3 linked regions of the Arabidopsis thaliana genome follow. The protein of the gene in region 1 interacts with the protein of each later gene in a pairwise test. Each region holds a gene or a part of one and is shown on either strand. Other genes may lie near its edges.

Region 1 (4,035 bases):
TTTTATATTGGGGGTTTTTTCCCTCTTGTTTTACATTGGTTTGAATGAGACAAATGTCTACAGCTGTGCTTGGACGCAAGCTGATCAAGCACATAGTTGTGGCCCTCGATCAAATATCTATTTGAACGGCCAATTTTATTGGAAATCTCAAGTTACAGTTTCCCCATTTATTTATTTTCTCCCTAAAGTTAAGCTATTAGTCGGGCCAAAAAAAGAAATTCAGCGTGTGGCCTGTTAATATTCGGAGCTGTAGTTCAATATATAAAAAAGAAGTTCGAGCGACCTATTGCATCTTTAATTTGTAGGAAACAAAAACAACACTAAATTCAGATGATTTTGAAATTAAAAGAGCGACCGATTTTTTTTTATTTTTTTTTTGATGAATTTGGATATATTTGTCGGAAAAATGGTTGAGGTGTAAATATATAATTATGATGAATATGTTCAAATTCATCGAAAATTCGTCACAAATCTTTAAATCTATACTAAAAATTCACCGCATAAAACTAAATGTATATTAACACTGAGTGTCTTTGCGATTTCCGACTAATTTCTGAAGGATTTAGAACCATATTTAAATTGGGTCCAAAATATGAAGATAGATAAAATTGTGGTTTTTGATGAATTTCTGACGACTTTTGAAAACACATCTAAAATGAGATTTAAAGTATCTATTTTGAAAGAAAACATCAAATTACAACATAATTACCAAGAATTTCAAATAAAGAAATTGTGATATACAGTTTACAACATGTTTCCAACAAATTTTCGAAAAACAATTAATAACAAATTTCTAACAAAAGTACTTTCTTCTGAAATTGTTAGACTGATTCATCAAATATAAATTCTAATCGATTAATTGTCTAACCGATTATAAGAAGAAATAAAAGAATATCTCGAAAGTCTAATAACGAAACAAGTTTGAGAGACTATTTTTTTTTTCTTTTTTTGAGAGACCAAGTCTTCATTATGGAACATGGATAATTATTGAAATCCAGCTTGCTTTCTTATTTGTTGGGAAGACATCTTATTCTTAGTTGTCTGAATCATATCCATGTATTGTATAAGCGTGTTCGACGTTGTTTTCCCCGAATATAAAAATGCGAAGTTCGCAAGACTTGACCGTTGAGTTGACTGTCTCCATTACAACTTGTTCCTCTAAAGTAGGAACGAGACGTATAGGTAACTTTCTTTGAAAGTCTTTGTTGTTGTCCGAAAATTTGTTAGCAGTCAACTTACATCCAACTTTTTTGTTTGTTTATTTGGTTTTCGAAATTAACTTTCTAGTTAAAATCAGATTTTTTCACTGATCAGGTGTGATCAGTCTCATCCGTGTAAGATTTGTAATTTTTTTTGCTACATCATTAAAATCGACAAATCGATACACAATTCTTTACTATGATATTTATTACAAATCAACACAAAAAATAAATAAACAAACCGAATATTGCGTTTAAATTAACTTTAGTGTATATAATAGCTTTCCGGAAATAGCGTGGTTGAAAGTAGAAACTGTGTTTTATGTCCAAAACTGAATATGAGTCATTTTCAAAGTACCAAATCTTATCTGTCAAAGGATCACATGATTACGTATAAGTTTTAGTGATCTTTTTTAATTATCTAAAAGAAGTATATCGCCGCCAAGGTGGAACAAGTCATTGTTTGTTTAACGCGCACTTCTCCTCCTCAACCATTTATCAAAACTAGAAACCACTATATAAAAAAATCCACAGAGAATGAAATTTACATATTTTCAAATCTTTAAAAGTTGAGACCAGAAGAAGAAGAAAAAAAATCATGGAGATGACCGAAGCTTCCAAACAGACAACAGCAGAAGGATCAGCAAATCCAGAACCAGACCAAATCTTGAGTCCGAGAAGATCGTTGGAGCTAAAACAAAAGAAATGGTGGATCTCTGTTTCTTTATGTATTTTCTTAGTCTTGCTCGGAGATTCTCTAGTCATGCTTCTCTTGAACTTCTTCTATGTTCAAGACAATCGAGAAGATAGTGACCAAGATCTACAATACCGAGGAACATGGTTGCAAGCTCTGGTCCAAAACGCTGCGTTTCCACTACTCATTCCTCTGTTTTTCATTTTCCCTTCACCAAAACAAAACCAAGAAACCACCAATACTCGTTTCCTCTCTTTTCGTCTCATCTTACTTTACATCTCTCTTGGTGTTCTTGTTGCTGCTCACAGCAAATTGTTTGCACTTGGGAAATTATACGCAAACTTTGGCGTCTTCACGCTGATTTCCGCGACTCAGTTGATATTTACCGCTATTTTCGCAGCCATTATTAACCGTTTTAAGTTCACCAGATGGATTATCTTATCGATAATCGGCAGCATTTTGATTTATGTTTTCGGTAGTCCTGAATTTGGAGGAGAGCCTGATGAAAACGAAGAATTCTACAGCATCCAAGCTTGGTTAACTTTCGCTGCTTCAGTTGCTTTCGCATTATCTCTCTGTTTATTCCAACTTTGTTTCGAGAAAGTGTTGGTAAAGACAAAGAGATATGGTAACAAGAAAGTGTTTAGAATGGTCATAGAGATGCAAATTTGTGTCTCTTTTGTCGCAACGGTTGTTTGTCTCGTGGGTTTGTTTGCGAGTGGCGAGAATAAGGAACTGCAAGGCGATAGCCACAGGTTTAAGAAAGGAGAAACGTATTACGTTTTGAGTTTGATCGGGTTGGCATTGTCGTGGCAGGTTTGGGCGGTCGGGCTGATGGGTTTGGTGCTTTATGTTTCGGGTGTGTTTGGCGATGTTGTTCATATGTGTACTTCACCACTTGTGGCTTTGTTTGTTGTGTTGGCATTTGATTTCATGGATGATGAGTTTAGTTGGCCTAGAATTGGTACTTTGATAGCAACAGTTGTGGCTTTAGGATCTTACTTCTACACTCTGCATAAGAGAAACAAGAAGAAGATGGTGGAGCTTTACCAAACAGAGAACAATATTGACGTTTAGTCTCTCATGTCAAATGTTTGTTTCTGTTTCAAAATATGTTGTTGTTCTTCTGAATGTTGTAAGTCAATGTCTAAAACATGTTGTATAGATCTGAAAACTATGGAACATATTTGTTAATTATTTTGATTTGATTTTTTTTTTGTATTTATCTCTTACAATATTTTGTTAATGAGGATTTGTCACTACAATTTATCTCTTACTTTCATCAACAAAGTATTGTAATAACTAATAAATAGATACAAAAAAATCTTTCTCACAGCTGGTTAACCTGGGTTCACAAGTCTTTTCCTATATATAGGCTATAATTTTTACGTTGTAAGAACAAAAACCCTTAGTTTCCTTCCTTTCCTCTAGAGATTTATTTATAACTCTCCTTGGATCTTCAACATGTCATGCCACATTGCCACTCAAGAGAGATATTTTTCACCCTTTTATCTTTTAGCTCTTATGTGTACTTGTTCTTGATTTGGTTCTAAGAGAAACTTTTGTGGTTCTTGAAGGAACCTGTTAGAGATGTAAACTATTTTATGAGATGATCTTATGTTTATGGAGATATATATAAGAGCTTTAAATGATCTTTATGTACTTTTGCTTATTTGATTAATGTTTTTCAATATGTGTTTTAGCATGACCATAAGTGAGTAGTCTAGTCTCTATCATGATTGACAGTTTATTAGGTTAACTTATGTTTAATACATGATTGTTAGGAATAAAATTATAGCCTAGTGATGTCCTCAAGGACCACAACTGATGAGTCGTTTTCAAAGTATACCAAATCTGATCTGTCTAAAGGATCGCATGGTTTTGTATAAGTTTTAGTAATATTTCTAATTATTATAAAGAATTTAATCACCACTAGCTAGTCATTGTTTAATGTGCCTCTCCTCAATCATTCTCAATAATTGGAAAATCTACAGGGAATGAAATTTACATATCTAAATCTTTAGAGATCCACCAGAGAAAACTCATGGAGATGACCGAAGCTTCCAAACATACAACAACACATGGTAACTTCACTGTCTTAACTTCTGTAAAAATTGTTTCTATTCTTATTGTCTTCTTAAA
Region 2 (3,832 bases), on another chromosome or scaffold:
TTATCATATTTTTTACTTATTTAAAATTTACTTTACTTCTAATATAGTTTTAAAATGTGTCTAACACTAAAACAATACAATATATGTATAGAAAATGGTAAAATAATGACGAGTATCGAGTCAAACGAGTCGAGTATTAGTTTTTTTTCATTACTTGTTACTTGATTTGTACTTGCAAGTATCTAAATTATACTACTTGTTACTTGCCTTGTTAAAAACGAGCATTTGTTTTTTCAAGGCGAATACGAATCAAGTAGCGAATATAAGACGAGTAACGAGTACTTATGTCTAGCCCTAATAAATATATATGTGTTTTTTCAATAACTATAACAAAAATAATCGATTAACTCTTTTGTGCTCAAGTTACTATGTAAAAATTGGTATGAACAACATTAGATACGCATCATGATAATGTTTGTTTAGTGGATAAAAAATCGATTAACAATAAAAAAAAATAGAGAGAGGCATGAAAACGAAAATAAGGAAAAGAAAAAGACTATTCGTTTGGTGTGGTCGACCTGTCCCACACCGAGGAAATCACACTTTTATGACAAGACCTACTTGTCCGTACTATATAACATTATCGAATGATTCCGATTTTCTCTTTCCTTTTTTTTTTCTTTAATACGGAAATTACTAATTAAAAATTAAAAAGCGACCAGACGACAATTCAAGAAGCAAACAAAATTGGTGGTACCGAAACAATAAATCTTTTTTATTTATTTCTAAACAATTATTAATTTATTGAAAATTTCACGAAGAAATGAAACAGAAAGTTTTTCTTGGTCCCACTTAGACGTGGCCTCAATCTTCACATCATGGCCCCACACGCTTCTCACGTGCAACTTAACCAGTTACGACAAAACAAAATTAAGAAACATATTAACTTTAGAAATGTATTTACAATGGTTAAATTATTGTTTTGTGCCATTTCGTTTAATACAATGCACCGCTACATGATCTTAAGATAGCTCACGGAAAATTTAGAAAAGTAAATCACAAGTCCCAAATATGCCACGGTGGAAGATGACATGGCAGATATAAAGCGGAGCTTTGCCACATTGAATAAAATTACGAGAGTAACTTTATAGTTTGTAAAATTAAAATCATGGGAATGGTTTAAATTTTAAATAAAATAAAACTGAAGAAATGAAGAGTATGCATATTTAATACTATCTTTTGATATGAAATTTAATTACAGTAATCACAAAATAAGGAAAAGTTAATAAGAAAAATATGGGTTGACTAAAGAGAGGTTAATTTGGAATCTTTTTACAGAAGAGAATACAGTGAACTAACATAAAAATTTTATTAGGAAAGACAGCTTTACACATTTTTAAAAATGCATTTAAGGAAAAAACAGCTTTGCACCTTTTTTTATAGGATTTGCATCTTTAAATTTTAGAAATAATACAAAAAAGGATGGACAAGAACATAAAATCTAATAGTTTTTTCAACAAAAGAAAAAATCGAATAGTTTATGCTAATATCATTAACATATTAGCAAAAAAAAATTTATTGATTTTATAATGGCTCTTTGACTAGTCAAGCTTGCATATGTTTATGTGGATGTTGCTAAGGAAACATGCATGAGTGCATCAATAAATAAGAAAGAAATATTACAAAAAAAAAACTTTTTACACGTCCCAATATTTGCAAACTTCAAGAAAGATAGTATATATTGTTGAATAAAAACTTAGTATATTTTATATTTCTCTAGATTATATTCCTTTTAAGTTCATAAAATTGGTTGTTTCTTTTTCTTTTTCCTTTTACAAAAATCAACTGTATTTTACTAACATTTAATTTACAAAAACTTTAATTACTAAACACAATTGGTAATATACCATGAAAGTCAATATCTAATTTGAATTCATAATTATTCTAAATATCTAAAATATTTAAATAGTAAAAGTAATAAATATGTATTTATAGAAAATTAAAAAAATATTGACTTTTTTCTCTCCCTTAAATAAAAGCCAATCCCATAGATTTCTTCACCAGTCGCCACAACTCCTCCCTCTTCTCTCTCTCTTTGTTTCAGAATCTCTAGGAGCTTTTTTCAACAACAATGGCTGTTCAAGCTCATCACATGAACATTTTCTCTCAGTTTATATCACCAAACAGGTAAAAATCTCATTTTTATATTCTTCTCACAAACAAACTTCCTCTGTTTTTATTTTCCTCTAATCTTTTTTATTTTTGTTATTTGCAGAGATTGTGTTAAATTTCAAGAAAACATGAACCACGGCGAGTTTGAGTTTACCGGCGGTGAAGTTCCGTTAATAACCGGAGAATCTTTCGCCGTTGAGCCTTTAGCTGCGAAAGCCAACTTCAACAAAGCAGAAAGTGGTCTCAGTTACAATTTCACTGTTCCTCCTCTGTCTACAAAACGCCAGCGAGATTTTCAATTCTCAGACTCAAACGCTCCGGTTAAACGGAGGTCCGTAGCGTTTGACTCATCATCACCGTCGTTGATAAACGTTGAACTCGTATCTCAGATTCAAAACCAACAACAGTCAGAGATCGATAGGTTCGTAGCTCAGCAAACGGAGAAGCTAAGAATAGAGATTGAAGCAAGGCAACAAACGCAAACGCGGATGTTAGCGTCTGCGGTTCAAAACGTTATAGCCAAGAAACTAAAAGAGAAAGACGATGAAATCGTACGGATTCGAAACCTAAACTGGGTTTTACAAGAGAGGGTGAAGAGTCTTTACGTCGAAAATCAGATTTGGCGTGATATCGCTCAAACCAACGAAGCAAACGCTAATACTCTTCGAACAAACCTAGACCAAGTTCTTGCTCAACTCGAAACGTTTCCAACCGCTTCAGCCGTTGTAGAAGACGATGCGGAATCGAGTTGTGGAAGTTGTTGCGGTGATGGTGGTGGTGAAGCGGTAACGGCGGTTGGTGGTGGTTGTAAACGGTGCGGTGAGAGAGAAGCGAGTGTGTTGGTGTTACCATGTCGTCATTTGTGTTTGTGTACGGTTTGTGGTGGTTCGGCTTTGTTACGGACTTGTCCGGTTTGCGATATGGTCATGAACGCTAGTGTGCATGTTAACATGTCTTCTTGACCATCTTTTTTTTTTGTTCGTTACAATTTAATTTATATTTTTTTTGTTTCCTTAGGATTATATTCGCAAAAGAAATAGCAAATTGATTCTTTTCTTTTTGTAAGTACATATAAATTAGTTTTTGGTTAACTCTTGATTTTCTTACGACTTAAATGGAATCCAAGACTGAAAATTGCAAAAAAGAAAGACGAAATAATTTGTCGAAGAGAATTTAAAGGCTCCTCCTCTCATTATGTGTGGGAAAAAAAGAAAGAATAAATCATATAAATGAATTTAAAGTGATTCGAAAATGTTTTGAAAAGTAAATATTCCAGAGTTCTTTTTAAGTTGCACCGTTGTTTGGTTGCTTATTCTCAAAGTCGATCACATGAGTTTGAATTATCTACCACCTTTTAAAGATTATCATAGCGTCGATATAAATTGAAAAAGGTATAAAAATGGTCTATGGATATATACTATTGCAATTTGGAAGTATCCTTTATCTTTCCAACCCCGCAACTATATTCAACCAGAAGAATCATACTTCGCTATCGAAACTAAAATAAATTATGATAAAAGAAAAAGAAATAGTCTGAATTCGATTGTCTCAACGACATTTTCAGTTCATAGTCATTATAGTTGTCGTGTAATAAATATTTCATATTCGGATCATGTCATGTGCAGTGCATGTCTAGACAAAATAAAATACCCCCACTAAAATGGATTTTTAAAATTATATCCTATATTAATTCTATAAACGACGAAATTAGAACGATGAA
Region 3 (3,890 bases), about 15 Mb from region 1:
GTGACTTTAGTGGGATGTGTGGGAAACTGTTTTATCTACTTTGAAAGTAAATGACCAATATGGGCCTAGGCCCATTTAAATATCTACCGGTCCAAGCTTTATGACTCGATCCTTTTCGGCTCATCTCAATTCCTTTCTTCAGCAGGTCAGCTGGTGGTTATAACTAACAATCTTTCGTATATACTAACAATTATAACAAACACACGTGGAACTCGAGAGTAAAATAACCACCACATACACAAGAGTCACGAGACTCACGACGCACCTTTCGTATACAGACAATCTTAGGACCATTTGCCTACAATAAAACCTTAAATGTGGTTTTGTCTCCATTTTGCTGTATCGTTGTCGTAGTGCAGGCCCAAATTAATTTGTCATTGTTGACTTGTTTGTAGAGTTTGGAGCTCTCATTAAATGTTGTAGTGCAGGAGCAAATTTTTCCTTTCTCCTTACGAAAATAAGATCGAAATTGCGATATGTTACAAATACCATTAACTTTAGAATACAACAAGAAAGTTTGAATAAGGGTATGTTACAAAGATATAGAGTTTGTGACGGAGTTAAACCAAATTACATGAATCATTGCAACGAAGTTGAAAAGCTTGGTCACATTTCATTATATAAGAATTATATAGAGAATTATATAGCTATTTAAATGTGTTTAGGTTTTAGTATAAGAAGAAGCTGTAAAGTTTTGGGGTAAAACTATAACAAATGTTTTGATCGAGTTTAATAAAAATACACATGCAACTTAGGACATGAACAATAGCTAGCTTGGAGCTAGAAAACATTGATAGGTTTTTCAAATATTCAAGACCCCTCTGATAATAGTACATAACACAAATCTAGACGAAGATACCAGAAGCTTCTTCCAACTCAGGTGAAGGATCAAGCTTGGCCGGAGAAACGGAAGGATCCTTCACAATCAATCGAATCTCCGCTTTTTCACCCCACAAACTATACTTGAGAAACGCAACCACAATTCCACCTACAAAGCTCCTCATCTCAGACTTTTTTCTTTGCCCATTCTTACACATACAACCGGCCATAAACCCAACAAAACCGGGCAAATCATCGTCCAACATATCCATATGTCCGTAATCCGCAGCCACGAAATGGGCTTTCGTCGCCTTACACTCTTTGTAAAACTCCTCATGGTTTAAGTCCGTTGGTGCGCATGGTGGCATCACGTTGTTCCACTTCGGTCCGAGTCCGGTTCCCACCACTGCAACCGGTATGTCCAGCTCGAAAGATTCCGGTTTATACGTTAAGATATGCGGATCGGTTCTAATGTATTTGTTAGTTCCTGCGACTGGATCAATTCCTATTAGAGCTGAAAACGTGATGGATGGGTCTAATGTTGCGGCATGGCCTAGCGCAACCGCAAACGCCGTTTTCCCACCGCGGCTGTGGCCCACGAGTGAGGTGTATTTTCCATTAGCATTTACCGAAGTTGGTAGGTGAGCTTTGAGGTTTTCCGATGCCCAGTTTATCACACTTCCAGCATCGTCCACTTCCACTTGCCCTCCCGGCGGCAATAATTTGCACAACTGTCATTCAAGAATATAAAATTAACTTATATCTTTTCACGTAACAATCAATCTCAATTAATGTACATTTTGTTTTACATGTTACATGTTACATACCGTAAGTTATCCTTTTAAATGATTCATAATTATTTTTTGTATAGTTAAATTATGTACCTGTGGGGCTACAAGAATGTAACCATGCGAAGCGATGTGGTTAAGAACGTCAGAGTAGAAGTAGTTGCGAAGATAAAAGCCATGGAAGAATAAAACGACGGGATAAGTTCCGGCGACTGTTGGACAGGTGATTCTCACCGGTTTTGGCGGTGCTGTTGAATCATTTTCCACCGGATCCACCGGTATCTCGGTTGTCGGGAGGCTGCCTATCTCAAAAGCCGCCGGAGTTACCACAGAGGAAAACGTTGGACTGTCCTCTATCGCCGCCATTTGTATTAAACTAGATAATTAAAGAGTTGTGTTGAAGATTTATGTATGAATCCTTCGAACTTTAGCTAGTTGTTTTGTATTTATAGGGGGAGAATGTTGATTTTTCTTATCCGATTCATTATAATTCTGTGGTTCTCTCGGCTTCTCATCGTAGTTATAACAAAATGAATTAAATACTTTCGAAAACGATAAATGCATGGGCTGCGTAAACAAAAGAGCATGTGTTGATTCAAATTATTACAAGTTAGTTGGTATACAATTACTCCATGCATTTATCATTTTCGGAGTACAATTTAATTCGTTTCCCGAAAACGATGTGTCCATAAACACATACCAAGACTTACTAAGTACTACTAAAAAATATAATCAAATTGCATTAGGAAACATATTGTTATGTTTGTTAAAAAAAACATTTTGTTATGTTTGTTCAGTAAAAAAAAAAAAAAAATTGTTATGTAAAAAAAAAAGAAACAAATTGACCAAAAAAGTAAAATTTGACCAAAAACAAATAGTAGCACAAGAAAAACAGAGAACAGAAAAAGAAGAGAGGAAGGGTGACGTGGCACAATTTCCCTGCGACGCACCCAACCTCCGTCTCTCTCTCTCTCAGATCGGCGGCCATCTCCGTCGAGTAATTGAAATCTCTCTCAGCCGTTGGATTCGAATTCCGCCGCATCTTCATATACCTCGTTTCAATCCTGCGGAACCCTAGTTGCTCTGGTGAGTCCCTGGTGAACCCCCGGATTTTAGAATCATCTATTGTATTTACTTTAATTCCGTTCCATTGATGATTTCTGCGTTAGATTTTGAGGTCTCTGCCTTCACCTCTATGTATTATAATGGCTCTGATTCGAAGTTCACATTCTGTTTGTTTATATGCAGAATTGTGGTTTGCTACTGTGATAAGTTCTTCAGTGGTAGATTAGGAAGCACCACCAATGGAGATTGTGTAAGACATATTCATTACAGCTCTCTTTTAAGGATTATGGGGTCTGTTTGCTGTGTGGCTGCAAAGGACAGAAATGTTCCCAGTGGAGCTATTGATAATTCAGTGTGTTCACCATCGTGGAGTTTTCGACGGGACAACAGGAGGCGTGTAGCTGATGAGATTAAAGATTCATCTAATCATAATGTTGGGAGTAGAGGTATTGACATCGATAAGTTGTCGTTAGGCTTAGAGAGAGGACCTCCGTCATCTGAAACTGGGGGTTTAGCTACTCTTGGCTCTCAGAAATCCGCAGACTCAGAGATGGGCACAGCTTCGATGGTTACAGCTCCTTTAGCGGGTACAAGTTTGGCGATTCGATCTCCTTCAGGTATGTTCGTTCAAACACTTTTTTTGTGGGGAAAGTGTAGAACTTTCAGTTTCATTGTTTGGGAATATACTGTTGAGTCGATTTTAGTTCCTTCGTGGATGTTCTTTTCCAGTCTACTCAATCCAGTCAAAGGGGTAACAACATTTATTTGGTAGGATTAGATCGAGAGACATTTCATTTTTTGGTAGAGATCATTTCAGCTTTATTTTCTTACTGTAATGAAGGATTTTTTTCCTGTCTCTCATGCATCTATTTTCTCTGGGCAGATGTATCCTTGGCAAGTCCTGTTCGTGTTGAGGTGAGATCATTACTTACTCCAATCAGAGTCTCTTTTCGTCCCTTCAGAGTCTCTTAACCCTCTCGTCTTTTAATTCTTCAGGTGAAGAATATAGTTGACTCATCAGATATTGTTTCATCAGTTTTACCAAATCCGTCAAGTTCCACCTCGGTCTCTGATCTTCCTTCAGCTCACACACATTCACTTCCTCCCAGATCAACTCCGTCTAGACGTGCTCGAGGTTCACCTGGGCAGCAGTTGTTTAGGCAGGTTTCTGATAGTCAAACTTTGGGATTGAAATCTCCCAATAATTACTCAACATCT

Evidence for each region. The genes of interacting proteins can lie anywhere in the genome.
Region 2: the proteins of PUP18 (region 1) and RING interact in a protein complementation assay, tested with the Arabidopsis thaliana proteins (one large-scale study listed by BioGRID).
Region 3: the proteins of PUP18 (region 1) and CLH1 interact in a protein complementation assay, tested with the Arabidopsis thaliana proteins (one large-scale study listed by BioGRID).

The regions. Positions count from the first base shown.
Region 1 is NC_003070.9:21,440,635-21,444,669, reverse strand, and holds PUP18 (purine permease 18), read left to right. Parts: upstream 1-1,633; 5' UTR 1,634-1,797; coding exon 1,798-2,970; 3' UTR 2,971-3,491; downstream 3,492-4,035. Other genes in the region: AT1G57980 (Nucleotide-sugar transporter family protein), read left to right, coding at 3,938-3,977.
Region 2 is NC_003075.7:10,712,875-10,716,706, reverse strand, and holds RING (SBP (S-ribonuclease binding protein) family protein), read left to right. Parts: upstream 1-1,961; 5' UTR 1,962-2,071; coding exon 2,072-2,127; intron 2,128-2,215; coding exon 2,216-3,074; 3' UTR 3,075-3,297; downstream 3,298-3,832.
Region 3 is NC_003070.9:6,802,951-6,806,840, forward strand, and holds CLH1 (chlorophyllase 1), read right to left. Parts: upstream 2,143-3,890; 5' UTR 1,974-2,142; coding exon 1,704-1,973; intron 1,551-1,703; coding exon 846-1,550; 3' UTR 536-845; downstream 1-535. Other genes in the region: AT1G19680 (RING/U-box superfamily protein), read left to right, coding at 2,959-3,289, 3,556-3,587, 3,669-3,890. UniProt on the Arabidopsis thaliana protein: Catalyzes the hydrolysis of ester bond in chlorophyll to yield chlorophyllide and phytol. Shows a preferential activity toward chlorophyll a. Does not seem to be required for chlorophyll degradation during senescence.